Kluyveromyces lactis: one gene and its partner. The protein of the gene in region 2 interacts with the protein of the main gene of each other region in a pairwise test. Links are inferred from orthologs where the notes say so. Each region holds a gene or a part of one and is shown on either strand. Other genes may lie near its edges.

The links.
Region 1: the proteins of MPS1 (region 2) and MOB1 interact in a two-hybrid assay, tested with the Saccharomyces cerevisiae proteins (2 studies listed by BioGRID). The link is inferred for Kluyveromyces lactis from reciprocal best matches to the Saccharomyces cerevisiae genes MPS1 and MOB1.

What each region holds. Positions count from the first base shown.
Region 1 is NC_006042.1:352,817-368,242, reverse strand, and holds MOB1 (Mob1p), read right to left. Parts: upstream 7,557-15,426; coding exon 7,537-7,556; intron 7,404-7,536; coding exon 6,506-7,403; downstream 1-6,505. Other genes in the region: KLLA0_F03861g (uncharacterized protein), read right to left, coding at 716-1,126; KLLA0_F03839g (SLM1 family PH domain-containing protein), read left to right, coding at 2,320-4,266; alpha-1,2-mannosyltransferase ALG11, read right to left, coding at 4,438-6,150; PFK26 (6-phosphofructo-2-kinase), read left to right, coding at 8,328-10,646; KLLA0_F03751g (putative metalloendopeptidase), read right to left, coding at 10,753-12,804; KLLA0_F03729g (uncharacterized protein), read left to right, coding at 13,753-15,426. UniProt on the Saccharomyces cerevisiae protein: Functions as an activator subunit for the DBF2 protein kinase. Binds to DBF2, which is required for the phosphorylation and activation of DBF2 by the upstream kinase CDC15 in late anaphase.
Region 2 is NC_006039.1:341,039-357,962, forward strand, and holds MPS1 (serine/threonine/tyrosine protein kinase MPS1), read left to right. Parts: upstream 1-8,148; coding exon 8,149-10,530; downstream 10,531-16,924. Other genes in the region: TRM10 (tRNA (guanine(9)-N(1))-methyltransferase), read left to right, coding at 66-962; YPQ1 (cationic amino acid transporter), read left to right, coding at 1,599-2,519; SPO21 (Spo21p), read left to right, coding at 3,063-4,931; CRT10 (Crt10p), read left to right, coding at 5,280-7,730; ARP2 (actin-related protein 2), read right to left, coding at 10,734-11,909; MRX9 (Mrx9p), read right to left, coding at 12,347-13,477; APM4 (Apm4p), read right to left, coding at 13,851-15,278; ribose phosphate diphosphokinase subunit PRS5, read left to right, coding at 15,988-16,924. UniProt on the Saccharomyces cerevisiae protein: Involved in mitotic spindle assembly checkpoint signaling, a process that delays anaphase until chromosomes are bioriented on the spindle, and in the repair of incorrect mitotic kinetochore-spindle microtubule attachments.

The DNA of each region.
Region 1 (15,426 bases), on a different chromosome or scaffold from region 2:
GAAGATGGAACCGCTTGAAAAATTAGGTAAAAGACACACAATTGACTAAATATTGGTCAACCTCAAAACGATCTCTCCAGTAGTTAGATATTAATGAAAAAAAAAAAAAAACACACACACACAATATTAAAACAAAAAGACAGACAAAGCTCTTGTTAAAGTTTCCACAATATAGGGGTAACAGGGGACAAATTAGAGCCAACTGAATTAGCCAGTACGTGCATGCACTTGTTTTCAAAAGAGAAACTCAAAATGGAAGTACAATATAAGAAAGAACGCCAAGATGAATGAGAAGATAGTATGTATTGTGCAATACCGGAGATTTTTTAACATTCGTTCATATTTCAAGAAGCAAAAGCTCAGATTGACACATTTTTTCATGTACCCTTTGTCAATTCATATTGTGTACCGGGTAATAAGTGTTTTTGACACATAGAGTAACCGCATGGGACAAATAAGATGGAATAAATATAAACATGAAATGTTCTCAGATCAAAGTGAGGAAAATTGTCACCACGAGTCTGTGTCAGTTGTATGTTCTTTCATTAAGCTGTATTAAGCGGCTTTAGGATGGAAACAATGACGTTCATTTGTAAGCATTTTCGCACTATAATGCCTTTTATTAAATATGATACTACAGTATGATTCATGGTGCTTAACATGAGACACTGTAACTACTGAGAGAACATCGATTAATGCGATCTATTATATGAAGCTATACGAACTTCTCAAGTATATGTAAAACTATCCAGTTCCATTTCGAGTACCAATCCCAGCCCATTCCGAAAAGGTTCGCGTAGAAATAATATTTGACCATTTCCTGAAACATATTAATCAGCCGGGCAAGTATCAGATGCAGTAGCGTCACTATACAGATAACGAATATGACACATGGCATGAATCTCTCTGAATATATGAACCTCTCTAATTTATTCAAATCAGACCCTACAAATTTTGCTTGTTTGTTCCTTGTGCCTCTGTTACGCAGACGTGCAGTTTTGCTCCTTGAAAACAATCTAGATATCGATGATGTTTTCAAACGTCGCAGCTTAATATTGCCCGCGTTCGTCTTTTGTATCCCATCATACGTATACACCATGGACGCATCTTTGGTGAAATACTGCATTGAGAGATACTCCCACAGTAGCTTTCCAGAGCTATTTTTCTTGAATAATGTTGGAACAGTAACGTTCTGCTCTTGAATTTAAATGATTCGCCGGGGGTACAGTAAAGACTTTGGATATCAGTCCCTTGCCTGCTGATCCGCTGATATGTCAATCACTTGATTCATTACTTTACTCAATTCGAGATTTCAATAGTCATATTGAACGAAACGTAAACAAAATCTGAGAAAGGGAAAACGATATTTCGGTGTCACGTGTCATTAATCGGAAGAGGTAACTGTGTGATCGGAGAAATCGCTCAGAGATCTTGCAGGAACCCCAGTAGCAACAAATACAGTATGCACACAGGTGTTACACACAACACTTCAAAGAGGTGGCTGAAAACATGACAAAGAGCAGAACACAGGTATCCAGTTGAAGAGACGGTTTAGCCGAATAGGACTTCTACTATACCGTCCATTTCGGCCAGTTGATTTCGACGTATGCCACACGTAACAAAAAAAATGCCTATGGATACAAGGAGATTCAGTTGAAGCAGAATATCCTCATCACTCTGTACAGGGCCAAACGTCAATACATGGTAATATATACTACTAAATATCATTCTTCCCACAGATCTATCCTGGACAGTGCCATTGACGTCTTCGTCCTAGCTTTTCACACCCCTTATCTGCAAGCTTTACACCACCAGGATCCACAGCATCCTTTCTCCAACCCCATCCATATGTATTGAACCTTTCTTTATCTCACAGAAGCATCGAATGCAAAAAATGGAAAAAAAAAAAATCATAAGAAAATGCTGTAGTAATCACCAAGTACAGTAATATTTAGAGGAAGTTTTGGGAGCCCAGCTTTAAAAATAACAAAAATTTGAAATTGCAATTAAAATTGAAACTGGGAAGAATTATTTAAGAAATTTTGCAAGGACCTCAAGTTCAGTACAATACTAGGGATTTGTGCTTCCATTTTCCCTTTGTTAAGAAACTGATACGATAGAACGTTAAAGAAAGCGTTTTCTCCTGGCGAGGTATTTTCGGTACTTTGGAGATAATTACGGTTTGAGTAGTTATTAAGGAATAAAGAAGGAGGAGCCCTTTAGCTACAAAAAAAAGAGAAAAGCCGGGCTATCGCAGACTTTATCATCATAATCATCATCATTATAGTTTACTTCTGATTTGTGCTTTCGAGTGATAAGATGTCCAAACAAAACACTATGACTAGCAGTATAGCCGATATGCTTTCGCAAAACCAACACAGTTTGCAGCAATTGCAGCAGCTGCAACAGCAACCATCTAGAAGTTTGACTTCTGCTGATTACAAGAATTTCCAGCAAAGCGGATTGAATGGAACTAGCGCTAACAACAGAGTTTCGGTTGCTGGCCAGACAATTCCTTATCCGACCGATAACATATCTATCGATGTGAACCAACCGCGAGGATCCATGTCAGCGGATGTTGTTGGCGTTCAAGGGAATGCAAATGCAACTGGTCTTGAAGAAGGAATTTCTTTCCCTCAAATGAATTCTTCCAAGAGACAGCAGCAGACGAATTCGTTGACTAGCTCGCATACGCATGTTAGCAGAAACAGGGCTTCATTGCAAAGACATAGGTCCAACGGTCAGGATCCCAGATCTCCTTTGGTGGTATTGATGCCTACTAATGCGAACCCTACAGAAGTTCTCTCTCAGAGATTTGCAGCATGGAGAGGTATTATCAGATCACTTCTTGTATATCTACAAGAAACGGTTTCCATCCAAGATGAAGTTGTAAGACAACATTTGAGATTGCAGCATGCAATTAACTTCCCATTTTTCACCATTGATAGCCAACATCAACCTACCACTCCAGAGGACAAGAACATTCAAAAATTCTTTTTGCCTCTAGGGCACGGATCTATTCAGGATCTACCCACCTTATTTAATCAGTACCATACGCAAATGGTCCATGCAGCATCAAAGGCCTCCAAGGAATTGAGTCAAGATGTGATCCCCAGATTAGAGGATATGAGACGTGATCTATTGGTGAAAATTAAAGAAATTCAATCTTTAGAGTCAGATTTCAAAAATTCATGTAACAAGGAACTTCAGGAAACCAAAATTCGTTTAAAAGCTTTCCAGGAATCGTTGGAAAATTCTAAATACGGATCTGTGAAACAGGATCCTTTCCTAGCGAAGATCCTTTTGGAAAAACAAATCAAGAAACAGTTGACCGAAGAGAATTTCTTGCATGAAGCTTTTAATAATTTACAAACTTCTGGTAGGGAGTTGGAAAAAGTTGTTATGATGGAAATTCAAAACGCTTTGACCAGTTACGCTAAAGTTTTAGGCCAAGAAGCTCAGATAGTGTTTGACGTTTTGATTTCCAAATTGGACACTGGTTTTTTCAATAAAGATCCTGTCTTTGAATGGGAAAACTTTGTCGCTAAGGACCCAAATTTCATCGATCCTAACTTACCAATGAGACGTGTCAAAGACATTGTTTACAAGAACCAAAATGATCCATTCACGTACGAGATTAAATCTGGAATTCTCGAAAGAAGATCCAAATTCTTGAAATCATATTCTCGTGGGTTCTATGTCTTAACTCCAAGTTTCTTGCATGAGTTTAAATCCGGTGATAGGAAGAAAGACTTGATTCCCGTAATATCGTTGTCTTTGAATGACTGTACTGTTGCAGAACATTCCAAGAAAGGATCTTCAGACTTTAAGTTTATATTGCATACAAAACAAAACGGGATTATCCACAGAGGTCATAATTGGGTTTTCAGAACAGATTCTTACGAATCTATGATGGACTGGTTCAACAATATTAAACAGCTAACTTCTACCTCCAATCCTGTGGAAAAAGCTAGATTTGTCACAGAAAAATTGAACTTGGATGGCTCACATAATAAATCGGTATTGACACACTCTACACCACAAGGCAACCAAGCAGCCAGAGCTAGTGTTGACAACAATGACTCGATTCTGGCAACCCCAAGGACAGAAAACGAGATACACGCTTTTTCTGAAACTACAGGTAACACCACTTTGAACAACTCTAATATCGAGCCAATGAACAAAGCATCGCAGTTTTTAACCCCTAAAAATCCTCGTAAATCAGGCCAATATTCATTAGAAAATTCTGCCAAGAATAACGTGTAGTAATCTCGCCAAAATGGCACCATGTCACCTCTCTCTGCTAATACTTCCGAAACAAAATTGTAACAAGTATGATGTCATGTTTTCAAAGCAAGTGCATATACGAACTGATATCGAAACATCTATAGCTTTACTTCATTGTCTAAGTAATGTAACAATTTATATAATTCAAATTCAACTGAACATTCTATTATGAGTCAAATTGAGTTCCTCCAACACCTCGTTCCATGAACGTTCAAACTCTGAATCAGAAAATTTTGATAAAGAGCACATCTTGGCTCTATTTGAGATATCAATTCTTTGTACAGTATTCAATTTCGATACCTGAGCAAATAACGTGCGTAAAGAACTATACTTTGAAGAATCTTTGGCTAGAAAATCCGGATCAGTTTCATCGATGAAGAAAAAGCCGGTTTCATTAGCTTTGTCAGTACTTTGTTCATTCTTCTTTGAATCCCATGGCACTACAATATCATAAAGAGGTCCAGCAGAAGCATGACATAATGGGATCAAACCACTTGCCATATATTCCACGACAGCTATACCAAAATGCTCATTCCACATTGCGTTTATACCAAACCATGAAGAATATAATATACTCTTCATATCATCATATTTACAATCAGTTTTGAAATCCACTAAATGGGTTGGAATTTTAAGTGCCTCAAAGGCATACTTCTTCAGCGTTTCAACATATTCCCTATCCTCTACGTTTCTTGTTGATCCTATAAATATTATTTTAGGAATCAAATCTTTCTTAGTCGTAGCATCGATGAAAGAAGAGAAGGAAGATAATATCAATTCGTGTCTTTTTTCTGGTCTAAACTGCGCAATAACAACCGCTTGATTTAGTCTTTTAACTGGATCTGATTTGTCACAGCCTTCTATCAATGATTCTGTGGAACATGGTGGATAAATAATGTGAATATTTTTTGTTGAGGACCAGATGGATTTAATATGATTATAAGTCCAAGTTGAATTAGTCGATGCAATTTCAACAAATAAGCCTGAAAATTTGTATGCGAGCATGAATATTTTCCAGTAGACATATTTACCGATCAGTTTAAAGTTTGTGTGAAATCCTGGCATAGTTTTTAGCTTTTGTAGCATATCTGTTGAGATGACAGGATAATGGGTATACGTTACAATTGGAATCCTAGCAAACAAAGATACAAAGGGATAAGCAAAAGGATATCCCATTGTATCTATCCAATAATCTGGAGCAAGTGTAGTAAGCGCTTCAATGGACAAAATGATGGAACCATAAGCTTGGCCTAATAGCGTAAATTTCGGCCAACTTTTTGATTCTACCAGTCTTCTCTTCTGTAGGAAAATGAATACTATTCTGTCCGAATCTAGATCGTATTCAAACCTTCTCCGCACACTGTTCAATATATCTGATCCATTAACATCTGTGTCTCCGGTATAGATAACGCATATATTGTTTTTATCCTGATTTAGCGATGTCTCAACGGCTTTCCACAAGACTTTCTCTCCACCACCACCAGCGTTACAGTAAGGATGGAAAAACCCTAAGAGTTTACGCTTTGAATCAAAACCCAACTTATTAACGAATGACTCTCTCTTTATTCTATCATTGTATGCTATATGAACCCTATCGCCATATATTTTGTTTGTATAATCCGATGGCCTTTCAGAAGCTAAAATAAAGGCTCTTCTAACAGAGGAGTTCTTCCAACCAAAATCCAGCACAGGAATCCTGTTCAAATTGTTTGAGCATTTTAGAAGTGAGTTATTAACACGTAACCTTACTTTCGCTGGTAGAGTTACTAGCAAACTTGGTATGAAGGATGACAATACTTTCAATGTAACCAATCCTGCGAGTAAGCTGCCGAACACGTACGTGACAAAATCAGCCAGCTTCATTGTTTGTATATCAATTGAAAAGTAGCCCAGGACACGCGGCTGACTTGTTTAACTCGTAACTAACGTTCGCTAATATATTTATATCAGGACATTAAGGCAAGATTTTCATATATTGTACCTCATCTTTTATGTGTAAAATAAGATTGTTCACAATCTGAGTTTCCTTATCGTTGAAACTGAACCGGAGTTATCCGCATAGACACGACAGATCTTAAAATAAGAGAGACTATAAAAAGGAAGGCGGGTGATGCTTATACAAAATATGTATATGTTACCTACGAATGTGGATTTGATGAACCATCATTTCAAGTGCTATTTTCATTTGATTTTGAACGGTTTAAATGGGAATTCGTTCTCACCTATCTTTAAATTCAATTACAAGTTCAAGCAAAGGCCCATAGTCGTTAGTCTTTAAGATGTGGAATTCTTCTGAGAACAGACAGACATGTCTGAAACTTGTATTGAGAACTGTTTGTAGATTGAGTTCTAAAATTTCGTTGAAATGATGACAGTAGATATGGGCGTAAACTCTAAATAGCCTTTTCAAGATAGGTCTTGCGATAGAGTCTTTGAAATCTTTTGGGAATGGGGCACCTGGTTTGCTTGGGAAATATGATTCATCATCAAACTGCTGTTGACACCATCTGATAAGATAATCGACGTATTTAGGTGCCGGTAACGATATAGGAGGTTTCCCAGGATGGACGTTCCATAGGTATTCGTATTCGTTAGTGGCTATCATTCTTGGACATGTTTGTGGGGAACAAAATTCCGTGATGGACCCATATAACATATTGATTTGGTTGTAGAAATCGACACAGTGTACAGCAATCCATTCGTCGATATTTTCGCCCTTAGGTAATTTAACAGCCTGGTTTAAAACACCTTTGGACCCCAAAGTGGTCTCCACGATCTGTCTTAAGTCCTGATGGGATGACACCACGGTGCCCGAAGTTGACTGTATGTAAGGTCTTTGATGCGACGGTGTGTAATTGAAATCTGTAACAGGGCCAGCACCATGATCCAGTCCAGATTGGAAAAGATGTGCAGTAGTTGCCTGTTTCTGAGGAGTTGAAAGCTGTTGTGGCATGTTATCGTTAAATTGAGGCAAACTCAAGTCGTTTGTAAGGTTTACATTTTGGAATCCGTTACCATTTGTATTACCATTGCCATTCCCATCTTTATTCGTATTTTTGGCTGTATTCCATTTGAATCCTCGAGTTGATTTTATCGTCTGACCTGGACTCAAATGACTGAAAACATATGGAAAGTTCCCAAGCGAGTAAAAATCGCAGAAACCTCAACGTTAGTAAAATAATTGAAAACTATCAAGGCCGCTCTCACTTACTTTGTAAAGAGGACACAAATAACAATCTTACAACATACAAGTTCTGTAGAAATGACATTTTTTGAGTAATATTTTGAACACACTGCCACCGTAAACTCTGATGAACAACTGGGATATCCTGCTAAAACAGTTTCTAGATTTGTAAATCAAAACTTTACCTAATAAAACTCTCTTCAAAGGACCTGCTGTGCCAATAGCTATGCCTTCAATTGATCTCAACACTAAAGCTCCCGCTTTATCATTGTCGTAATGCTAAATATCAAAAACGAATTCTGATTTTGTTTACGTTTTCCATGAAATAGGTAAAGTAAGATGAGCGAGACAGTATGGGAGAGAATGGGAGGAGTGAGAGAAATATATATCACGTGATTTCTTTATTTTTTTTGTCTCTCTTCCCTTTTGGTGTCTGTCCTCTTTTAGTTTGTCCCTTATGTCAGCAAGTCTACTTTTTCCTCTCGTTTTTCGAGGCCCAAAAATCCATTTGACCCAAGGAAGCTAGCATATGCTCATTCCTAACTATAGCATTTTTTTTTTTTTTTTGATTTTCTTCCCTTAAAATTATATATAGGTTGAAATTAGAATTTGAAATGATTTATTCTAACATCACATGAGGAATGATGTAACAGAAACATGGAACCCTAAACAAGGGCAGGATCAAGCTTTTAGCATTTAAAGTACTACAGCTCAGTGGCAAAGTAAACTGAATTCAACGTTCAGGTTTAACGTTATTCTCCGTTAATTTTTCTCAATTTTCTAGCGTTTATATTTTTCGCTCTGAGAACTAGAGATTTTGTTAGGGGATCCTGTCATCAGATTTACCAATTCGTATATGTTTAGAAGAGTTTCGTTCTCTGAACATGTTTTGGTTTCTAGTTCAGATTCCGAGTTGGAACCTACACAGTCCATCGAAGATAAGAGACATGATCAAGCGACACAATTGAAAATGGATGAGAATGAGGATGGAATCTACGAGGTTGATAATTTACCTCAGTTTCAAAAGCGGCCTTTAAGTGATACGCCCGTTGTTTCTAGGTTCCAGTCTCCCAGTAGTTCAGTAGAGACTTCTGCTGAGACGTCTCCTCAAAGTTCAAGGAGCACTTCACCAACTGGGTCTCCTGTGTTGGGACCGGTCACTGAAGAACAACTTTCTTCCGAGAATGGGTTCCAAAGCGGCGCAGAAGATTGGCAGGACCAGTCGATGCTTGAAAATCACCCACCGTCTCATATGGTACCGAAAAGGAGGCCCACCACTATCGATGTGCCGGGGTTGACAAAATCTAAGACTTCTCCCGATGGTATTATATCTCAAAAGGATCCGGGGTCCAAGTTGATCATCATAATGGTCGGGTTGCCTGCGACAGGAAAATCGTTCATTACAAATAAATTATCCAGGTACTTGAACTATTCCATGTATTATTGTAAAGTGTTCAATGTGGGTAATACTAGAAGGCAATTTGCAAAAGAACATAACATGAAGGAACAGGATTCAAATTTTTTTGATCCGGACGACGAGCATTCCAAGATGTTAAGGAATAAATGGGCTCTTGACACTTTGGACCAACTTTTAGAATATTTATTGAATGGCCCAGGCTCAGTTGGAATCTTTGATGCAACTAATTCCACTAAAGAAAGGCGTAGGATGATTCTTAAAAAGATTCATGAAAGAAATAAATTCATCAAAGTTTTGTTCCTAGAAAGTATTTGTTCGGATAAAGAGACCGTCGAAAAGAATATAAGAATGAAACTACTGGGACCAGATTATAAGGGGAAAGATCCTGAGTCATCTTTATCAGATTTCAAGGGAAGATTGTCTAATTATATGAAAAAGTATGAGACCATCGAAGACGATGAAAATGTTCCATACATCAAGATGATCGACATTGGTAAAAAAATTGTTTCCTATGATATACAGGGATTCTTGGCTTCACAAACAGTATACTATCTATTAAACTTCAATCTTGCTGAGAGACAAATCTGGATTACAAGGAGTGGTGAAAGTGAATTTAACGTCTCTGGTAAAATCGGTGGTGATTCTCAACTAACTAAACGTGGTTTGAAATATGCAAGAGCTTTAGCCAGGTTTATGGAGGAACAAAGAAAGCTTTTCAATGAGAATCAAATGAAAGAACACTTGAAAGTTTGCACTCAAGATACCAAACATGAGTTTACGCCGACAGAATTTTTTGTATGGACATCAATGAAAAAAAGAGCTATGGCTACCGCATGCACTTTTAATGACAGGCATTTTGACATTAAACAAATGAAAATGTTAGATGAGTTAAGTGCAGGTGATTTTGATGGGCTTACATACGAAGAAATATTGCTACGCTCTCCTGAAGAATATGAAGAAAGGCTTCTAGACAAGTTAAGGTATAGATATCCTGGCATTGGAGGTGAATCTTATATGGATGTTATTAACAGGTTACGCCCTGTGATTACAGAAATAGAAAGAATTACGGATAATCTTCTAATCGTCACGCATCGAGTGGTAGCAAGAGTTTTACTTGGTTATTTTTTGAACTTGAGTAAGGACGTTATTACAAATTTGGATGTCCCCCTACATTCCGTGTACTGTTTGGAGCCCAAACCATATGGTGTAAGCTGGTATCTATATGAATATAACGAAGAAACAGACACATTTTCTAAGGTACCACATACTGACTTGAATACAACTAAGGTTAAAGAGGTCGGTTTAGTCCATCAAGAAAGAAGATACTCAATCATACCTACTGCTCCATCCTCTGCCACCAGCGGAAAGTCCAGGAGTGTTAGCCATAGCAGTAGCTTCACAACAACCAGCAGTGGAGGACAGTCTTCGAATCGGTTGCCACATAATCTACCGTACTCTTCCTCCACAAATATGTCAGGTGCCTCTAGATCTGTTCACCCAGCTAGACAACTTCCACCATATCGGACAAATCCCAGCTTATTGGCCAGGACAATGTCTCGTAACCATAGCTCAGACCATGTTGGAATTTTGAAAAGAAGTGTTTCTCCTAGGGAACTAGCTAACTCGATTGAATTAGATAAGTTAAATGAAAAGCTATCAAAATTGGCTACTAATGAAAAATCAAAGAGTGACACTACACCTCAGGCTCCCCCTCTTTCTAGAAGTCAGAGTGAAACAATGTCCCCTCATACAAGTTGAGATCTTATTAATAGTTTAACACTCCTTTAAATATCTTCTGCATCAAGTATTTACAGACTACAACGTCAACCTTAGTTGTAATTTAATGATTTATCGTATTTGACCATCAAGCCTCGAAAACTATTCCTACTGCGTCAACCCAACTGCTGACATTTCCGTATATTGCCAAGACTTTCTTATTCGGAGGCGGGGTTAGTGTTCCCAATGAACCTCCAGATTTTGATCCGAACATTTCAGATAATCTACCTTTGCTTGTAATTACCTGGATCGCGTCTATCCAAGCACCTGCTCTAACGTTGAATCCTGTTATATATTCGTTGGATTCCAGTCTTAGATCACTATAATTAGCAGTCTCCTTCCCAAATAATACTGATGGACCACTTGTCATAACATCTTTTGCACCTTTAAATATGCTAGACACCTTTCCGGCGTAAGTGCGTGGAGGAATCTGAGGAGCTTCTGATGTGTCCTTAGCATAAAATCTGATACCATCTAAAGCTGCGCCATGATAAACGCGCACGATGTAGCATTGCTCAACTTTAATTGGAACTAAACCAGTTGGACTACCACGGTTGGCGTTACCTAATAGTGTAGATTTAACACCTAGAACGTTATTTCCGAAACCATATTCTTTCATGGAAATTGGCTTAACATTGATTATCTCCGGAAAGTTGGTAAATTCAGCGGTAGCAGCGTTAATGGAGTGAACTTTTATATTGAACTTGTTACCGAACTCAGGAACTTGAGCAGGAGGAATCATGGAACGCAGCTGATCCAGAGTAACTAAGATTTCCTTTTGGGGTCCTACACCACCATGTTGTTTTGGTAGATATTCCAAGTGGGCTTTCCCGAACTCACCACATATTATTTCAATACAGTAGATACCTGATTCCGATTTAATACTTGCAGTTTGATTTCCCATCGGGAACAAGGTGGCCTTCTGATATTTCCAATGATCTAGCTGACCTGGTCTTAATAATTGCGGATCATAAAAGTCTTGAGGTAGTGCAAAGCTGGGATGGTATAAGAATCGAAGAATATCCAATCTGTGCCATGTACATTCGAGTTTAGGATATATTGGAGATTGGGCACCATATGAATTAGTTCTTAAACTGTAAGCTTCTTTGGTAAGGAACGATCTGTTCAAAGTCATGTAATCTCTTAACATTACCCCATTTTCTTGATGTGGACAGCCTAGCAAGTGTCCTATTTCATGCATGAATGCACCTAGTGTAATTGCGAGACATTCCCAGTGGGTACCGCACTGGTTACAATCATTGGCTACTTCAGAGGTGCTTGCTCTGGTATCATCTAAAAAGTAAGGAACAATGTCTTGAAAGCAAGTAGGCCAAGAATACAGACCATGGGAACCGAAAATTGCAAGTTTGATCTTATTTGTACCACCACCGAGAGCGGCATGCGCAGTAATCAATTTCAGTTTTTTGTCCCAATGACTATCCATGAACATGACAGCAGCTTGAGAAGTGTTATAGTTGTCATTAAATGGTGCACCATATCTTTCTAATTCCTTCATAGCTATACCAAATAAGCCACCTGCATCTTTTGCATTAGGATTCTGTTGTGCGATATTAATATCTCTTAGCTCCACGGTAGTCTTCTCACTTTTTAGAATATGAATCTTAACGGTGTTTCTTAACTCGTCATCCTTTAGGAGGGTATCCTTCGTGAATTCTTCCACGAATCGGAAAGTTCTTTGACCGACGCCGTTACGAACCATTTGTTCATTAGTGAAAGCTTGCATGATCCGTGCACCAGTTCTCAATTTCTTTATGGCCAAATCGAGACCGTTACCACCCTCCTTACGAATCTGTACAGCTGGTGCATCATATTTCAGAGGAGAATCTTTAGCGAGTAGTAGACATAGATGAATTGGCGGGTTCTGTAACAATGGTACGTATTGAATAGTTAATTGCGCCGTAGAATTGTCATTTCCAGTGAACCATAGTAAGTTTTCACCAGGAGTCAAAGAAATAATGCACTTGAATCCGTGGTTGTTAACGGGAAACGTTAAGGGAGGGAGCTGCGAATGATGCACTTGGACAGAATTGGCATTTGTATTTATATTTCCGTGGACAATAAGTGCGGGTGTATGAACCTCTTCTCCGTTCTTGATGTTGTAAAATTGGATTTGGGACATCACTTGATTTAATTAAGGGTATTCTATGGTGTACCAGTGGGAAAAAGAAGCAGATTTGAGTGTCAGTCACAGGTATTAGCTGAATTACCAGTGTAGAACCTTATGATATCGAATACTAGGAACAATGGATGGATTGCTCGTATTTAAAATCGTTTTACCTTCGAGACATCTTGTTTAAAGATCTGATCCAAAATCTACGCACATTGTAAATAAAATAAGCAGACCTCGAACTTTCATATCACGTGATATAGCAAGGTTTATATCTCTAAATATCCATCAACAAATAAAGCACTGCATAACCACAGGTAGGTTCGTTAAAGCCCGTACAGTGTCTGGAGGGAGTATCAGTGACCCACAATCTGCCCGAAAGTTTTATCTTCTACAATGACCACGTCGACATTAATTACTTAACTATGTGATTCTGAGAGAACACGAACTATGATGTTACCCGAATATTATTATTAAAATCTGACAGCTGTCAATATACAAATACGAACTGCAGCATACAATACACATATGTCAATGATCAAAGAAATACAATATATGTAGCTAACATCGACTGAGCAATTGGCTAATAAAGCAGCAACCATATACATACGCTGGAAAAAGCCTCTCAAACCGCGTCAGTTTATTTAGCAGTTATCTTGAAAGGAAACCAAATAAAAAAAAAATTTCAAAAATCCAAAAACCCAAATTTCGATTCTTCGACAATAACAAAACGGGCCGAAAATTATAAAAACAATACACACATTTGATATTCAATTGCCATCGATTGAGGCATCTACTCTTTTGGATCTTCAACTTGGTAGAGTCAATAACTGTGTCAGGATCTAGGCGACTTATCAGAAGTTTATAAAGGAGAAGGCTCTTTGCATTGTATTTTTTGCAGATAAAAGAGAAAGAGTTACAGACAATCGAGTGATACAGGAGATCAAATTATACTGAACCATGTCACACCATAAGAAGCGTGTTTATCCTCAGGCTCAGTACCAAATTGCAGAAGGGATTGCACAGCCAATTGTTGGTGGAGGTGTTCCTCCGCAAACTGTAGGTGCTGGACAGCCGCAATTTCTGACTCCTGCTCAACAACATTTGCATCAACAGATCGACCAAGCAAGTAACGGCATTGGTAATATGCAATTACACAACGTTCCTGTGGTTGATCCTACTGCATTCCAGCAAGCTGGAACCCCGGTGCAACAACCACCATACGGTGGGGCTCCTCAATATGGCCAGCCAATGAACAGTGGCTACGGCGCCGATAACATATCCGGTGTTCAGCAGCAGTATCAGCAGCCAATGCAACAGCCGTATGGGCAAACGTACGGACAACAGCAGCAGCAACCACAATATCAACAACCAGGAGTAGGAATGGCTGTGGGTAAACCAATGAATCAATTGTACCCAGTTGATTTGTTCCAAGAATTGCCTCCTCCAATCACTGACTTGTCTTTGCCTCCACCACCGTTGATGCTCCCTCCAGAGAAGATGATTGTTCCTAACGATACAGTTAACAATTGTTCTGACCATTTAAGGTGCACTTTGAACGCCGTTCCAAAAAACAATTCTTTACTGAAAAAATCGAAACTACCATTAGCTATGGTTATCAGACCATACACTAAGTTAACCGACTCTGAATGTCCAGTGCCAACTAGCGAAGACGGTGTTGTGGTTCGTTGTAGACGTTGTCGTGCCTACTTGAACCCCTTCGTACAAGTAATCGAGAATGGTTTACGTTGGAGATGTAACTTCTGTAACTTGGCGAACAACTTCCCTCAAGCAATTGATATGAATGGTAACCGTTACGAGAGACCCGAATTCAACCATTCTGTTGTGGATTTCGTTGCTCCTAAAGAATACGCTGTCAGACCACCACCACCATCCACTTACGCTTTCATTTTGGACGTTTCTCAGGCATCAATCAAGAATGGCTTGTTGGCTACTGCTGCAAGAACTCTCTTGGAAAGCTTGGATACCATTCCAAACCATGATGAGAGAACAAGAATCTCTATTATTTGTGTTGATCAATCTCTACATTACTTCCGTATTCCTTTGGACGAAGAAGGTGACAACATTAAGATGTACGACGTCGCTGACTTGGATGAACCATTCTTACCTTCTCCCACTGGCCTATTGGTTCCACTAATTGAGGCTAGAAGCAACATTGAAAAATTATTGACTAGCTTACCAGAAATTTTCCAACAAAATATTCAACCAAGATTTGCCTTGGCCTCTGCTCTAAAGTCTGCTTTGAACTTGATCAGAGCTCAGGGTGGTAAGATTATTGTTGTTGGTGCCACTTTGGCCAACGTCGGTGAAGGTACATTACATAAGAGAAATGAAAAGGCTGTTGCAAATACTTCCAAGGAAGCTTCCACTTTATTGAACACTGGTGACGCATTCTACAAATCTTTCCCTATCGAATGTAACAAATATCAAGTTACGGTGGATATGTTTATGGCTTCCGACGATTATGTCGATATCGCATCTATCTCTAACCTAGGCCGTTTCACTGGTGGCCAAACCCATTTCTACCCTGGTTTCAGTGCCTTAAACTTGATCGATGTTACAAAGTTCTCAAAAGAATTTTCAAAACACGTATCCATGGATCTATCTTTGGAA
Region 2 (16,924 bases):
TTCCAACGATATGGAAGCTCATCGCAGATGGTCCTTCGAGAATAAAGAATTGAAGACAAGCTCAAATGTCTGATACCAGTGAAAATTCAAATGCTGAGATTCCAGCTGATACCTCAGATGTCAAAGATAAACCTAAGCCGATAGTTAGGGCACCACAATTTCCACCTCCTCCGGAAGGCATATCAAAATCACAATGGAAGAAGATCTGCAGGAAGAAGCGTTTTGAAGAGACGAGGGCAGAATATGCACAAATCCGCAAAGAGAAGAGAAATCGTGCCAAATTGGCACGTAGGGAAAAGCTCAAGGAATATACTGATAGAGGCGAAGAAATCCCTGAAGAATTAAAGCGTCCACCAAAAGTTAATTTGAATCAAAGTGATTCCGGCATATCTATTATTCTTGACTGTTCCTTCGATGATTTAATGAACGATCGCGAAATTGTAAGTTTATCTACACAAGTCACTAGAGCTTATTCTAGCAACAAAAGAGAGAATAATTACGCCAAGATTAAAGTGACATCTTTCGATAAGAGATTAAAACAACGATTCGATAACGATTTGAGCAACTCTAACTACACCAAGTGGAAAAATTTCGAATTTACTGCAGATCCAACCTTGCCCACTGAGAATGCCGTCTATCTGACTGCTGATACAGAAGAAAAACTGGATACTTTAGAACCAGGGACCACTTATATCGTAGGTGGTATAGTAGATAAAAACAGACATAAGAACCTATGCTACAACAAGGCAAAGGAACTTAACATCCCAACCAAGAGGCTTCCTATCGGAGAATTTATCAATCTTGCTGGAAGGAAAGTGTTGACTACCAGCCATATGGTCCAACTAATGTTGAGATACTTCGACAACAAGGACTGGAAGGAAGCATTCGAAAGCGTGCTTCCACCTAGGAAACTCGAAGTCGACTCTACAAAAGAAGACTCTGAAACTGCTTCTGCTGAATAGAGCCAGCCCTTTATTATATAATTGTACGTTAATTACACCTTGCATATGGGCATCTGACAAGTAGACTACATAGCTATAAAACCAGTCTTCGGTTTTTAACCACACTCATACCCTACCAATGACTGCAAACGGCAACAAACATATCCATTTGCAGATCTAGAATTCCCCAAGGGCTTCATTTTTTCTTTGAGGACAGTACAAAACATCACGCACGACGCATGACTAACTTCTATTTGACTGGACTATCTTTCCTTCCAATGGAATTTTCATTTTTTTTTCCGGACGTACCCTCATCTCAATAGAAAAGAAAGGTTTTCAAGCAAAGAATGGTCTTCTGTTCTCAGGAAACTTTGCGAGTTGCGTCATGCACTGAGTAACGAATTCATTTTACAAGCGAGTATTGAGAGTTCAAGTTACTGCTGATATATAAACTCTCTTTACTGGTAACATCTTTAGAGAAAAAAATAGTAAAATATATTGTTTCTCATTTCATTTGATTAGTTTTAGTATATGATCAAAGGAAGTAGAAGAGAAGAAATTTACTAAAAGTTCTAGTTGAAACGAGTTCTGGTTGTCATCATCTGTACCTGTTGATTGAAACTACCATTGACATCCAAAAAAATCCTAACAAACAGAATGCAACTAGTTCCCATAGTATTGAACTCCCAGACTGTTTCTGGGATTACAGGTTCCATTTCTATTGCATGTTGGATCATCGTTTTCGTTCCACAGATTTATGAAAACTTCTATAGGAAGTCGGCAGAAGGTCTTTCGCTTATGTTTGTGGTGCTATGGCTTGCTGGTGATATTTTCAACTTACTTGGCGCTATGCTTCAGCATTTACTACCCACTATGATCATTTTGGCAGCATATTATACTGCTGCTGATATAATTCTTTTGATTCAGTGCTTGTTTTACGGTCAAGATGGACCTGTTGACCCTGTACATCTATCACCAGCTAATCCAATCAACGAAAACGTCTTACAAGATGTTTTTCATGAACGTCAGCCTTTGCTTACCGGACACCAACACAACGAACGTCGTGTTTATGTGGAGACTTCATCGACAACATCTGAAGCCACTGCTCCAAATGCAGATAAACCTGAAGACGGGAAATTGAGGGAGCAATTGCTCAATATCATTATTGTTTCATCCGTTATCTTGGCTGGCTTCTTTTCATGGTACATTTCCTATATCAAGAATCCTCATCAAAGCAACCCTGAATTGGACCTTCACATGAATTGGCTGGCTCAATCATTCGGATATCTTTCTGCCGTGCTATACCTAGGTTCAAGAATCCCTCAAATTCTGCTCAACTATCAGAGAAAATCATGTGAAGGGGTGTCTTTCTTATTCTTCCTTTTTGCATGCTTGGGTAACACTACTTTTATCATTTCTGTTTTGAGTATATCATTCGCCCCACGTTATTTATTAGTCAACGCTTCTTGGTTAATTGGAAGTTCGGGTACTTTAATCATGGATTTCATTATTTTCGCGCAATTCTTCGTCTACAATAAGGATACTCAACCATCAGCAGATGATCTATTGACAGTATGATCTTTTTTTTCAACATTAGAAAATGCATTCCGCTTGGTAGATGAAAGGAATGTTTACACACTGGTAATACAAATTACTGTGCTACACTCACAGCACATATATATATAGAAAAGATCAAAGGCACCTAATTGTGGAATGGTCTTTTCAAAGATGCATTTTAATCTAATCTTATTAATTCCTCATTTCTTCAAATTACGATGAAAGAATATATTATTCAGTTTCCATTCAGCAACAAATATATTAAACTTGTCTATAATGAGCTGCCACCCTGAACAGGGAGGTTCCCTAAACGTAACGTTAAAATTTGCTGCGCTATAATTGAAATTCCAATTTCTCACCTTATAACTTATTGTGTCAGATGACAGCGTCAGTTTACAAAAAACAATTTATTAGATATCTCGATGGAGGAAAAAACTAACGGATTGGATATATAATGAAACAATCTGACGTGTGTTCTGGTTGCCACCAAAGACTCTTGTTGCTAATTTGGTCTTTGTCTACGGTTCTGCTTTTGAACCAGTAGTCCTCAGGCATTCATTCATCATGATGGAAGGTTCACACACTGTCCGTATGAATAGACCACCTGAACTATCTGAATACTCCATAAAGGAAGATAATTCTACTTCGTCTTCCGATAATGATTATGAGAACCAGACAGCTGATAAGCCCGTTTCTCATGGTATTCACGGGTTCAGCAACATTTTGGGGTTTAGCAGATCTAAAAGTTCGTCTTCAATGAATGAACATAGAGGTTGGAATATATTTCGAAGAGAACGAACTCCAACTCCTGCAAATAAACTGGCTTTAGATGATAAAGAAGATCGAGCTTATGATCCAAAGGAAGTGAGCTGGTGGAGCAAATCCATCCATAGATCTAGACCAAACACTGAACCTACCAATAATGTCAATCTTTTTGACGAAGCTATTTCGCCGGAGGAAAAACTTCTTCTTTCAGCTAATGATAGGTTAGAAGCGATGTTACAAGATTCCTTTGAAAATGTTGTTGATAATAGTGCCAGCCCCACCAAAAAAGATGATCCTATTGAAACGAGTGACTCGGATACTACTGACATGGATTCTTTGCGTGAAGCTTCAAGAATCATAAAATCAAAAGTTCAAACGATTGACAATGATAGCCCAGAAACGCCTCCAAATGAACCAGCCATGAAAGTACATTTCAAACCTTCAAATCATGAAATTTCTATTTATGATTATGTGTATGAATCTCCAAATGCAAAAAACTCCAAGAACATAGATTTAATGATGGTGGATACAAATTCTGTGACGTTTGGTAAGTTTCAACGAATTGCTTCATGTTTGAAAACGGGCTGTGATCCTTTGAGATCAGATCAATCAATTGTAGCTCTATGCGATTATATTTTAACCCTTTCAAAAGAATGCAATGCAAAGCTTTGTACTCTCGAAAGCACTAAGGAACAGGAAGATGAAGATATAAAGTTCAAACTTGCGCAAACCGAAGATCTAAAAGCTCGATTAGAAGATATCACAAATAAATACGTTAAAAATACTAAAGAAATCGATAATGTGAAGGCAGAGAATAACAATCTTAAACTGAAATTGAAGGAAGTTATCGAATTCAACAATATTTGCAAACAGTTCTTTGTTGAATATAAGGGCCAAATTGCGTTGTTGAGTGAACAAATCAATAACGAGGTTACTAAAAACGAAACTTTAAAAGAGAAACAGGAAAGAATTTCCAAGAACTATGAATCTGAAAAATCACGGAATATGGAACTTTCAGAAAGTTTGGCTGTCTCTCAAGGTGTTTTACAGGATATGGAGAAAAAATATTTAGAAAACATCAATAAGACGACTGGTCCCGAGATTGTACAGGACTTATCATGCTCACATGCTGAGAATTTGGACCTCAAAACTAAAATTGAAAAAATTACCAAAGGAAATAGCAGGTTAGTGAAAGATTGCCAAAGGGAGCGTAAGAAGGTATTGGATTTGCGTAAGCAGAAGGGACTAACAAGTAAATACGTTGATGGGATTCTAGCTTTTCAAAATTACTGCATTCAGTTTTTAACTCAATACATCATGTCTTTCAAATCCGCTATTGATTTAGCTGATCTCCTGCATGTCGAACAGCAATTATTCCAAGTTTCAAGTTTTAACCCTCTCTCTTACAGAAACCTTGAATATCATTCCGAAAGGGACCTTTTGGCGCATTTGCAATCTTTCGAATCGGATTCGAACGAGTTGTTCCAAAATCTCAGCAATAACATCCTTGTACAAACATTCAAGAAGTATACGATAGAACAAAACGCCAACAAATTCCTCACTTCTCAGCTTCAAGTATTGCGAAAAGAATCTGCAGATAAAGATCGGTATATCGAAGCAATCTTACAAGAAACAAATAGTTTGAAACTGAAATTAAGGGAAAAATGAGCTTGGTATCTGGTTTAAAATTTATATAATAGATAGAGAATGGTTAATATTGTTGGAAATCTCATGATATTCATCAAATGCATTTACTTACTTAATGTTTAATATACCGGAAAACTCTCCATGGTTTTGTTCCAATGAATATCTTTCTTGAAGTCCTCTGTTGAAAGCTTTGAATAGAAAAACAAATCAGAAATAAGCATGGGCACATGTGTGCATCAACAAGCGCAACATAAATAACATAACATGGCATAACAAATCAAATGATATAAAATTCTTTTCAAATGCTCAGACAACTCATATAAGATAGCATTCGACTAATATAGCTGAATTGATCGGTTGCAGCAACTCATGGAACTAGCGGATTATGATAAAAGACGTTTGAATCTATTTTTGAAAGCAAACGGATTCTTCTTAAGGAAGCTTGGGCCTTCCGAACATGTCTTTATGGGTGGTGACAATAATAATGACGCGCAAGGTGATCGATATAGTTGGTGTAAGATTCCAAATGCGGCGACCAAGATTGATGGCCTTCACTTGTCCGAAAGACTGGAACAAATACAAGAGTTTGAGGTAGATTTAAGTAAGGGAGCGGATTCTAAATACGTTGAAGGTATAATCTCCAGGGGTTCTGATATGGAGCCTATCTGGGGTAACGGTAAAATTTGTGACCCTGGCGAAATTCTTTTACCAAATTATTATCAGATAAAAGTTAGAGAAATTGGATCATATCCTGTTCATGTTTTCCAACATAGGAGTGGATGCAATAACTTCATAATTCTTCAAAATCGATATGCACTATACATCAGTTCAGTAAGAACTATTAAAATCGTGGATCTTACTCATTTATCCACACATAATGAAATACTAGATGCCGAACAGAATCTTCTTATTGATGATTTGTTCACCAATTCCTCAAATGAATATACACTCTCATTGATGGAAAGACTTCCCTCATTTATGGGAGTGACTGTATTGGTATTTGGGGACTCCGCCGGAAATGTATCATTCTACAGAGAATCATCTTTTATAACAAGCTTTTCTGCTGTTCCAGATAAAGCTGTACTTAACCTGCGCTTACCTTCCGAAAGAACTAAAGTTTTAAGTTGCGATTATGTTGATCAATCGTCCAATCTCACAATCTTTTCCAGCAAGGAAGTGTTGACTGTGTTGTTTTTTGATTCAAAAGAGCGAACTCCTATCTCAGATGAAATTACTTTCCCTGCCAGCTTATCATGCATTACATTTTTGGATTGTACAGTGAATGGGTTCATAGTTATTTGTGAAGATCGAACAGCAACTAAATTCACCTTACACTTTCCCATAAAGACTTTACAGAGTGGGCAGATATATTATGAGCTTCTTGAGGATAGTAAAGCCATAGATAGTCATGGATTATGTTCGCACGATGAAAGTACATTGATATCGATATCCAAGGACGATTTTCTTTCAGTGCCGAAATATGAGTTTTTGACATTATCTTATAATACTAGTAGAAATGAAGAAACTGTGCGCCAAATATATCAAAACAGCATGATTTTGGAAGTACTCCCTTTGTATCCATCTGAATCAAATTATTTGGGGTTTGGGGCATCTATTGCTCAAATAGAAGTTCCAATTCCAAATTTCTCTCTCCTCTATCGAAACGATGAATCACTTGTCAACTGTCCTATAGAATTGAGGTATACCGCATATCAAAAATATGGAAAACATTACCACGAGGTATATGTTAATAAAAAGGTACTCAACGAATCATTTTCACAGGATCCTGATTGCTATATATCCAAACGATCACATGGTTATGGTGATTCTAAAGTCGGTAAGGTGCACGTAACCTCTGACCGGTCTGACGTACGACAGACAAGAATTGGTTGGGAGATTGTTTCGGATGCGGAGCTCGACTTCTGTAAAGACTACAAGGATAAATTTCTATCTTTACAAGATCAAGTAGAAACTTTAAGAATCGAAAGGAAAGGGTATCCTTGTTTTGATCTCCAGTTTATAGACAATATTGAGTGCTCAGCTGATTTATTGAGACGTATCTACTTCCACAAGACCTGGAAATTTACTCAAATTAAATCCTCAGAATTGAAAAGTGGAGAATTTTCTCCTTCTAATATTAAAGATTGTTTCACCGCTAGACAACTAGATATCCCTATACTGAATCGCATTGATAAAGATGCTGTTGATGAATACGTGGATAAATCGATAATTAAATATCTTCGGATTTGCGATGAATCAAGATTTAATAACGATGGTCCAAAGTTTTTTTCAAAGACATCAGGAAGTAATTTCATATTTGAGGCTACTTCGACTTTTGAGACCAGTTTGCTTGGAACAGATCCAATTATCATGAATGCATTTACTAGGCCGATATTTCCCTTGAATTTCAACTGTGTTGATCTCTCAAGCAACAAAATAATGGTTTGTCACTTACGCGAAATAAATTGCATTGTGGTTGCAAATGGCTCTGGACTAATGTTTCTTTATCGATTAACCGAGTGGCGTGGCATTTATGCTTTCAGATTTGAGAAGATTTTAAATATCCTTCGAATTCAGGATATATGTGACGATAGTGATGACGAAGAGAGATCGACGTTTTGTGAAACTAACAGAAGATTCACACAAAATAACTCAGACTTCCATCACACTTGCAACGAATGTAGACTTGTTATCAAGTACCCAATGGTTCAAAGTATGGATTACATACATATGCCCGAAACTAATGCGGTATTATTATATGTTTGTACCACAGCCTGTCTGGTAGTATACGAAATTTCCCCCAATGACTTCTCCAGATAAGTGCTGGCTATAGCATTGTGTATACAAGCTTTAATAGATGTAGTATCCACTCTGAAACAAATGAAAGCATATGAGTATGCCTAACCATCTCATTATCCTTTCGAAAATTGTCGACCGGTGTTCACTTGAAGATTAAGGTTCTTATTGCTCCATCCGTGCACCGCACTTTTTTGTTTGTTTTTGTGCTGTTTACCCAGAAAAGCCAAAGCTTTCTCGAAGTATAAACAAACTAATCTCTTTTAATTATTTCAACCGTTAGGAGCTAAACATCAGCTGTAGGTACTGTGCTAAGTATATTGGTTAATTCATCATAAGGTACATCAATACTCTTACAGTGTGTGGATACTTTTGCTGCAACGATACCATCTAAACTTAAAGGCAGCTCCCTTTCCTTAGCCTCAATACACTTTCTTATTTGATGCTTGGATCTGATGGAGTTGTACGACTTAACCAGTCGTCATTTCCTACAGCAGAAAGCCAACATGAGTATAGTCGATATCAAGATGCTAAAACAGGATTAGAAGAACCTACTCACTCGAACCCTTTGCATTTTGTTAGGCATTTCAATGGACGGAACACTACACATACCTCGAATCACACAGAAGATCAATCTCAATCAACAGTTTTCACAATGGTGAATAAACAATTCCAACCAAGCATGACAACAATGAATACCGTGGTCAAAGAAGATAATGATATTTCGAATTCAAATAGCAACCATGACAACAAATATAATAAACTGAACGAGGAGTCACTGATGAAAGACGACACTCACAGTCATACTTCTCAAAAGTTCAAAGTACTGCAACAGAGTATGAAAGAGGAGCTATATAACAGTACAACCAAATCATCAAACAAACGAAATAGAAGGTTTATCACTTCCCGACTGTCCTCACTAGGACCTGCCAAACGTAACCTTTCTACAAGTTTCAATGTGGATTCCCCTAGTGAATCCAGGGTTGATAATAGTCAAATCAACAGTAGCATAATAAATGATACATCTAACATTTCCCAGCAAGATATTGAAAATTCGCATACCTCTAATAGTTCTAATACAGGTTACAGGTACCATGACCATAACATTTTTCTAGAGACTCACAGACAACATTCAACACCCAGCCACGATGAGAACAAGGACCCTTCCGCCAATCTGCAACCTAACATCAACTATGAGAATATAGATTTTGGTGATCTCAACCCATACCAGTACCTAAAGAAGTATAATCTTCCCAGTGGTGAGCTTCCGTACATCTCGAAAGTATATTTTGAAAGGCAAAAGGAAGAGAATAGAAAAACCGTGTTGAGAAAGGCCACCTCTGGAACGCTGGCGTTAAAGAGGGAATTCACTCAATATAGGAGAACTCAAACAGCTCGGCAACCACGGAGAAAACACAACTTTGGCACAGATAAAACGTCGTTACAGGATCCGCTTTCTTCTCCATTGCAGAAAAATCAGCTGGTATTCCAGGAGGTAGATCGTGAACTAGCTAACAAACGCGAAGCGCTGAAACCATTAGATGTCAATAATCCATCTAGCAGTCAAGAAGCTAAGCGACCAAAGTACGAAAATGATCATGTACCCGAGGATTATCGACCTCCTTTTTTCTCCCATAGGAAGGCACCATCGCCACATGATTCGAAACCCTTTAAAAAGGTCGAGATAGTGGAACCTCCGAAATCCACTGTTGAAGTTATTCCTTTGAAGTCCGAGGGTTGCGATGTTTCATCAAAACTGAACAAGGGGGATAATTATCTGAACTATAATGGCTCCTTTGATACAAAGAAGAGAACCTCGTATGCTGTTCCAACGATCACAGTGAACGGTACCGCATATGAAAAGGTGGAACTACTCGGCAAAGGTGGATCGGGTAAAGTTTACAAAGTGAAATCTTCTGATCACAAGGTATACGCGTTGAAACGCGTGTCTTTCGATGAATTTGATGAGTCCAGTATTGATGGCTTCAAAGGGGAAATAGAGCTTCTAAAGAAACTAGAAAACAAGCAGCGAGTTGTTAAGTTAATTGACTATCATATGGGACAAGGTGTCTTATTTCTCCTAATGGAATGTGGTGAACATGATCTATCCCAAGTATTGACTCAGAGATCCAAAATACCATTTGATACGGAATTTGTCAGATATCACTTTCAAGAAATGATAAAATGTGTGAAGGTGGTTCACGATGCTGATATTGTCCATTCTGATTTGAAACCCGCAAATTTTGTTTTCGTCAAGGGAATGTTAAAGATAATTGATTTTGGGATTGCGAATGCGGTTCCCGATCACACTGTAAATATTTATCGAGACAACCAGATCGGAACTCCCAATTATATGGCTCCCGAGACTTTGGTTGCAATGAACTTCACAAGGAATGATGGTGAACAAGCCAAATGGAAAGTGGGTAAACCATCAGATGTTTGGTCCTGTGGATGTATCCTCTACCAAATGGTGTACGGAAAACCGCCTTATGGTACGTTCCAGGGAAACAATAGGTTATATGCGATCATGAATCCTGATGTTAAGATTCCTTATCCTGAAAAAGACTCTTTCGGTACAGTGATACCAAGAACTGTTATTGACACTATAAGATCATGTTTGGAAAGAAATCCCATATCTCGTGTTACAATTGACCAGCTATTAAGTGGTGCATTAATTAATCCTGTCACCGTAACAAAATTCTTCATACATGATTTGATAAAAAATGCAGTAAACTATGGTTGCGATCAAAAACATGTCAATAATGAGCGTGTGGAAGAATTATCTGAAGATGTTTGGAACAAACTAGCTGAATTTAAATTATAGATTAATCTATTGCACTGAGGGCAGTACTGGGATAAAGCACTTCTGACATGCCGTCTTTATGGCTTTTTTTCCTGCATTGAATAAAGAAGCAACATATGAATGCTGTGCTCCCATAAGAAGCCAGCAAATGAACCTATGGGTGCATTAATAAGTTTACCTACGTAATACAAATGTACTATTATATAAGAGTTTTAATCATTCATTTATCTTGGTCCAAACTTTGACATTGCAGCAGGACCTATTTCATGCCATTCTTGCTTCGATAACCACATGTGGTCTTTATCGGCCATAATGTTCGCTAAGACGGCACCACCAATGAACACCATATGCTTTCTTCTTGGTGGGTCCTCAATTCTGACCTTGAATTTATCCAAACGTGTGGGATCATTGCGTAGAACCCTTGTAAACCATAGTTGTTTTAGTTCTTTTTCCAACCTTGAAGGTAAACCTGGGTACATGGATGAACCACCAGACAAGACGATAGCTTTATAAAGTGATGTTCTGATATCCACATCTGCTGCTTGTATTGTGTTGAATAAAAGTTCACCCACACCTGGTTGTTCGACATCAACTAAACTTGGTTGGAATAAACACTCTGGTGCCTCGAATCTTTCCGGTCCAACCTTGATGACTCTCCCATCGGGTAATTCATAAGATTCCACTAGAGTAGTCGTCTCTCTTGCTAATTTTGTGTCCAAGTCTAGATCATAAGATACATAACAAAGCTTTTCTTTAATTTGACGAACAGTTTCGAAATCGGCAGTTCTGTTGAATGCATAACCGCGGCGAGACAAAAGGTCAATTAAGTGTCTGGTTACATCTCTCCCAGCAACGTCTAACCTTCTTGTCAAATGATTCAAAACAACGGATTCATAAACAGGAACAATGTGAGTAACACCATCACCGGAATCAACAACGACACCCGACGACAAACCTTGAGCATATAGAGCTAGAACGGCTTGAATTGCAACGTATGTGCCACCAAAATCATACTTCTCGAACATAACTTCACACATTTGTTCTCTGTTTTTAATGGGGTTCATTGGTGGTTCGGTAAGTAGTACCTTACCGCCGGATGTAGTTGGCAATTTCATCTGCTCAAAGAAAGCATAATCCCATAGTAATTCCATATCTGCCCAGTTTCTGATGATACCATTTTCCATTGGGTACGAAATCTGTAAATATGAACGAACTTCACTTGCTTCATCACCAATCATGATATCTTTCAATGGGGTAGAAGCATGACCTCTTTCTTCAGCTCTAAGAATCGGTCTACCTACGATGGATGGGAAGGTGTAATCTGGGAAGTTCTCACCAGCACGGCCAATTTTCACGAAACCAGTACCCTGATCAAGAACAATTGGAGTATGTGGGTCCATTTTCGCTTTATTAATGGGTTGAAGATGCTCACAAATGTCCGTTTGATTTAATTACCCCAGTTCCACTATTAAATCTGATGAAATAAACCTTTATTTCCTCTCTTTCTTTAAGAACATCTCCTATTTCCCAATGTTGTTGATGTCGTTTTTCACGTAAATCATGTGATCATGTTTGTCCATATAGAATTTATCCAGGAGGTATAAAGCTATTGGCACGTCACAAGATAGCCGCTAAATCGTTGGATTTACATGTAAAGCATGTTTTCATATGGTTCAAATGAATCTTATAGTTTGCTTGGATATGTGTTATATGATCTTTTTTATTTCATTGATGAATATGTATAAATTGTGACGGTTTGTGTCAACTTAAATAGATTTTGTGAAGTGATGATTCTTAATAATGTCATGTCAGTACCTAGGTGAGGGCGTTAGTTCTTTTAATCACTTTCGTACGTGTATTCTTTACTGCCGTCCTTTTTTCGTTTTACACTATATTGTGCATTTGCTCCAGTTTCTCCGACGTCTGTAATGAAGCAACATTTCGAAAATGGGCTGAGAGCACGTACATAGATGACCATCGGGGATAACTTAGAATCATCAATGTAGTCACCAGTGAACATCAACAATTCGTCCCCTGGGTTTGCCTTTGTAACGATGTAAACCAATGCAACTGGTTTACGGACTCCCTCAGAACCCATGTTCAATAGCATAAATGAAAAAGCTTGGATGTTTTCGTTATTTCTGACGCTGGAAACAAAAGAGTACGAGTTTGTTACTAACTCCATGTGTCCTGGAACATAAGCTGTATCACTTCCTAAAACTATGGATTTGATGTTGTGTTCGTTTTTATAGAAACTCTCATCTAATCTCGATTTCACAAAGGAAAGAAATCTGTCTGCGTTGGGAAATTCTCCCGATTGAAACTTATCTGTAAATGCTTGAGAGAGCTTGAAGGGGAATCCGCTGAAGTCCTTTAGCTGGGTAAATGACTTGAATTTTGGGACCATTTGCTTCATTATCAATTCTCTCCTTGTGGTGGATGAAAGCTTCATCTTAGTTTGATTGAAAGCATGATCCAAAAGCTGCATAAGTTTCCTGGTTCTAAAAGCTTTGAATTGATACCACCCTATTCCAAATATCACCATCGGGAAAAGCAAAGCAAGTAAGAAAGGCAAAACAAATACTATCATTGTTATGAATCCAGCGAACAGTAACGTGGAAAGAATAAAGGAAAAAGGGCTGATTGAAAAGATAAATCTGGGATTGTTAAAGGGACTTTTTCTGAAAGGATCCCGTCCACCAAGTACCATGTTTCTCGGCGTAGAATGGAAATTTCGAAGCGCCATCTTCACAGGAGAGACCAAAATATTCTGGTTATAATGTAAAAGATTCATCCGGGGATTCAAAGCTGCCAGGAGTGGGAACCGTGGCACCAAATTCACAAACTGACCCGTCTTGACACATCCATGACTAGCAGGACTGTATGCTTTTAACTTTGTCAAGGATTGAAATGGTCGCAGCCCAATCTGTGATTTAACGCACAATTGAAATCGATTTAGGGGAAGCATCTCACAGAAGAATATCACAATGTCTGATGTGCGGAATTGTATTTTCTCAGATTTATACCAATAAGCGATTACTTCTGGTAATGCAAAATGTCTTCATAGTCTTGAAATCTATGAAGCTTCTTAATTTACAAAGGAATTTTATAGGAATTTCAAAGGCCAAATTGTCTATATCATCGCAAACCCCATACTAAGATCGCAGGATGACTTATAATCTGCTTTCTGTTCCTTTAAACTTTTGGAATATTATTACTACATTGTTTAAATAGGAAAAACATGAATAATATATACATATCCGGGTAAACTTTTGTAAACCAATTCGTTGCACATTAATATGAAGACACCATTATAGGGACAAGTCATCCCACTCAGTGGACTAATATCTTATCTCGTATGCTCCTGAATGTGAGATATATTTAATCCATTTCACCGGTTGATAATTCAATTGTGGTTCTTGACATTTCAAGTGTCTCACCACAAGTCCGGAATTACTAAACATTACAATTTCGAAGCCCATTGATATTGGCGGTCTTGACCATCTTAACAAATCAGATAGATCGTGGGAAGTAGCAGGGATTGCCACCTTACCGCTCAGAGTATTTTCTGTAGATCCTTTGTATTTGTTGTATTTCCATACCATGCATTTTTCTCCGGCATCGTACTTACATTTTCCTCCAGAGACGTTAAAATCGCATTTAATCGTGGTTGGGGGCACAGGTATTTTAACTGTTACATCTTTGGCAGAGACATTGGATGGGAAAAGTGATCTTAACGTTACCTTGTAATTGAGTGTAGAGTTCTTCACGATTTCTACCTCCGGTATGACGTTGAATGGGATATTAATGTTATCAATGACACGGTATTGCATCAATTGGAATGGCCCGTCAGGAGGAACGAATTGAATAACGTGGTTGGCCTCGTACTTATTAAGTTGGACACATTGATGGAATTTACAATCTTCTAATATTACAGAGCCTGCAGCCGCATTCGGTATAGCTTTCTTATTCTTAATATCGTACTCGGACATCATTTCAACAATGGACAATTCTGACTTTTCGTTTCCATGAATCGAATATGTGTCATTCAACCCTAGTTGGCATAGAGGCATACCTGATAGATGTGATACACAATCCACGGATCCATCAACAAATGATTTCACAATTGACCCATCTTTACCTACCAATATTGTGATCTTTTCGTTGATATCCAAATATACCTCATTCTTCTTGTATTTCAACCCACTTGGCCTCCAAGGGCATTCAGATAATGAAGACAAGGCAATTGAACTTGAGGACCGCTTTGAAAGCTTTGGAGCCTTTAGAATGTTAGATCCGGATAAGAAATCATCCAAATCGGGAGATTTGCTAATTGTGTTATTCTCTATTGGTTTTCGTGATACTCTTGGTATTATTTGAGCTAAGTCCGTTGTTTGTGGGATGCCGTTCTCCAACGTCAGTTCTAAAATCTCATACAATAACATAAATTCATCCTTTAACACGTCTTCATCGTTAATTCCGAATGCTTCCATTAATTGGTACAACTTGTGTAGGTATTCCCAGATCATTGAACTATCCACATTCGATCTGGATACTGCTACAAGCCACATAGGCAAGTTGTCGCTACTTTCTCTGATAACATGTTGAAATGTCGTTGAGCCCAATGTCAATATAGGAGACCTCACATGTGGATCATTGATGACTTGGGTTCTAAACACATCTGCCAGTGATCTTTTAACATGGTCTTTGATCAATTTACTGATCAACAAATCACCCTTTGCATTGTATATAAATATAGCACTAAGCATGCTGCGTGTTGGTCAACGATAATTTTTATACTGTAGGTTACGAACACCACCGTTTCAGTTTTGCACTGCCCTGTGTACCTCAAGTGCCTGAAGTTACAGTTTAAGGAACCTTTACTGAAATATACGCTACATAGTTCAAAATTATTGTTGTGCTATTTATCAAACCTTTGCAAAATAAAGCAAAAGCTGAGAAAAAGAACAAGAACGTTGACGAGATGTTATTATTATATAGGCAACTCACTGATGGATTGGTTTGTGCAATGATAGATTATTGGAACAGAAATTGTATCTTATTCATTCCCTTGCTTTTGCCCCAACTCATTGTGTCTAAGCTGTATATATTTACTATTGGAAAGCATATAATGTCAAGGGAATTATAACAGATCTGAACAAAAAGGTCTTACGCAATACCTAAGAGTAGGCCATTATGAATAAACATGATATATCCATGGCACTACTGACAATGCGGCTCTTCTGGATGAAACACGGGCCTTTTCAGGTAATTCTTCTTTTTTGAAGATTCTCTGCAATGTGCTTTACTATCAGTAGGTCCGAAAATTTTTATAACAATTTGACAGAGATAACGAGATCGATCGGTACAATGATCATACAGATACGATCATAAGAGGTGAATTGAACGCTGAACCTGTATTGTACTTCATCCAGAAAACTACTGTTTAATAAAGCCCTGTAAGTCTTGTCGAAAGAAATGAATAACATCGTCGTTTTTGCTGGTAGTTCCCATCTCGATTTAGTGAATAAGATTTGTGAGAATCTAGGTATTGAAAGGTCGCAAGTGAAGCTAGGTAAGTTTTCAAATGGTGAGACCTCCATTAGTATCGAAGAATCTGTTAGAGAGAAAGATGTTTATGTGATTCAAAGTGGATGTGGCCATGTTAATGATAACTTTATGGAGCTATTGATTCTCATCAATGCCTGTAAAACAGCTGATGCATCCAGAGTCACTGCTGTGATGCCATACTTCTCGTATTCAAGACAGCCTGATATCCCATACACAGCTAAGGGTGCTCCATTAATATCAAAGCCTAAGGAAAAATATACTTTTGAGTCACATCCAGGAACCCCTATCCCTCAATCCATGCTAACAGTAGAGAAGCCCATGTCCCCAAATTCAAGTAGGCTAGATGCCGCAAGCTCAGCTTCTTCATCAGGTCCTCAGTCTCTACAAAGTCCCACTCCTTTGCGTCCAGTAGAGTTGAGACCCACCTCATCTACTTCTTCGCGTATCCCCATGATTCCAAACGGGAAGGCTGAACATCCATCTGAGCAGGAGCAAGATTCAAATGCAGACGCCCTCTTTAACGCAAGCAATTCTAGTTATAAGCTATGGGTAGCCCAAGCAGGTACTTTGATCGCTAATTTGCTAACTACGTCCGGAGCAGATCATGTCATCACTATGGATTTACATGATTCTCAATTCCAAGGATTCTTTGACATTCCTGTTGATAACCTATACTGTAAACCTATCACTCAGGCTTATATTCAACATCATATTCCTAACTATCAGGATTGTGTCGTTGTTTCTCCAGATGCTGGGGGTGCTAAGCGTGCTGCAAAAATCGCCGATGTCTTAGAACTTTCTTTTGCTATGATTCACAAGGAAAGAAGGTCACAGCTTTTGAAAG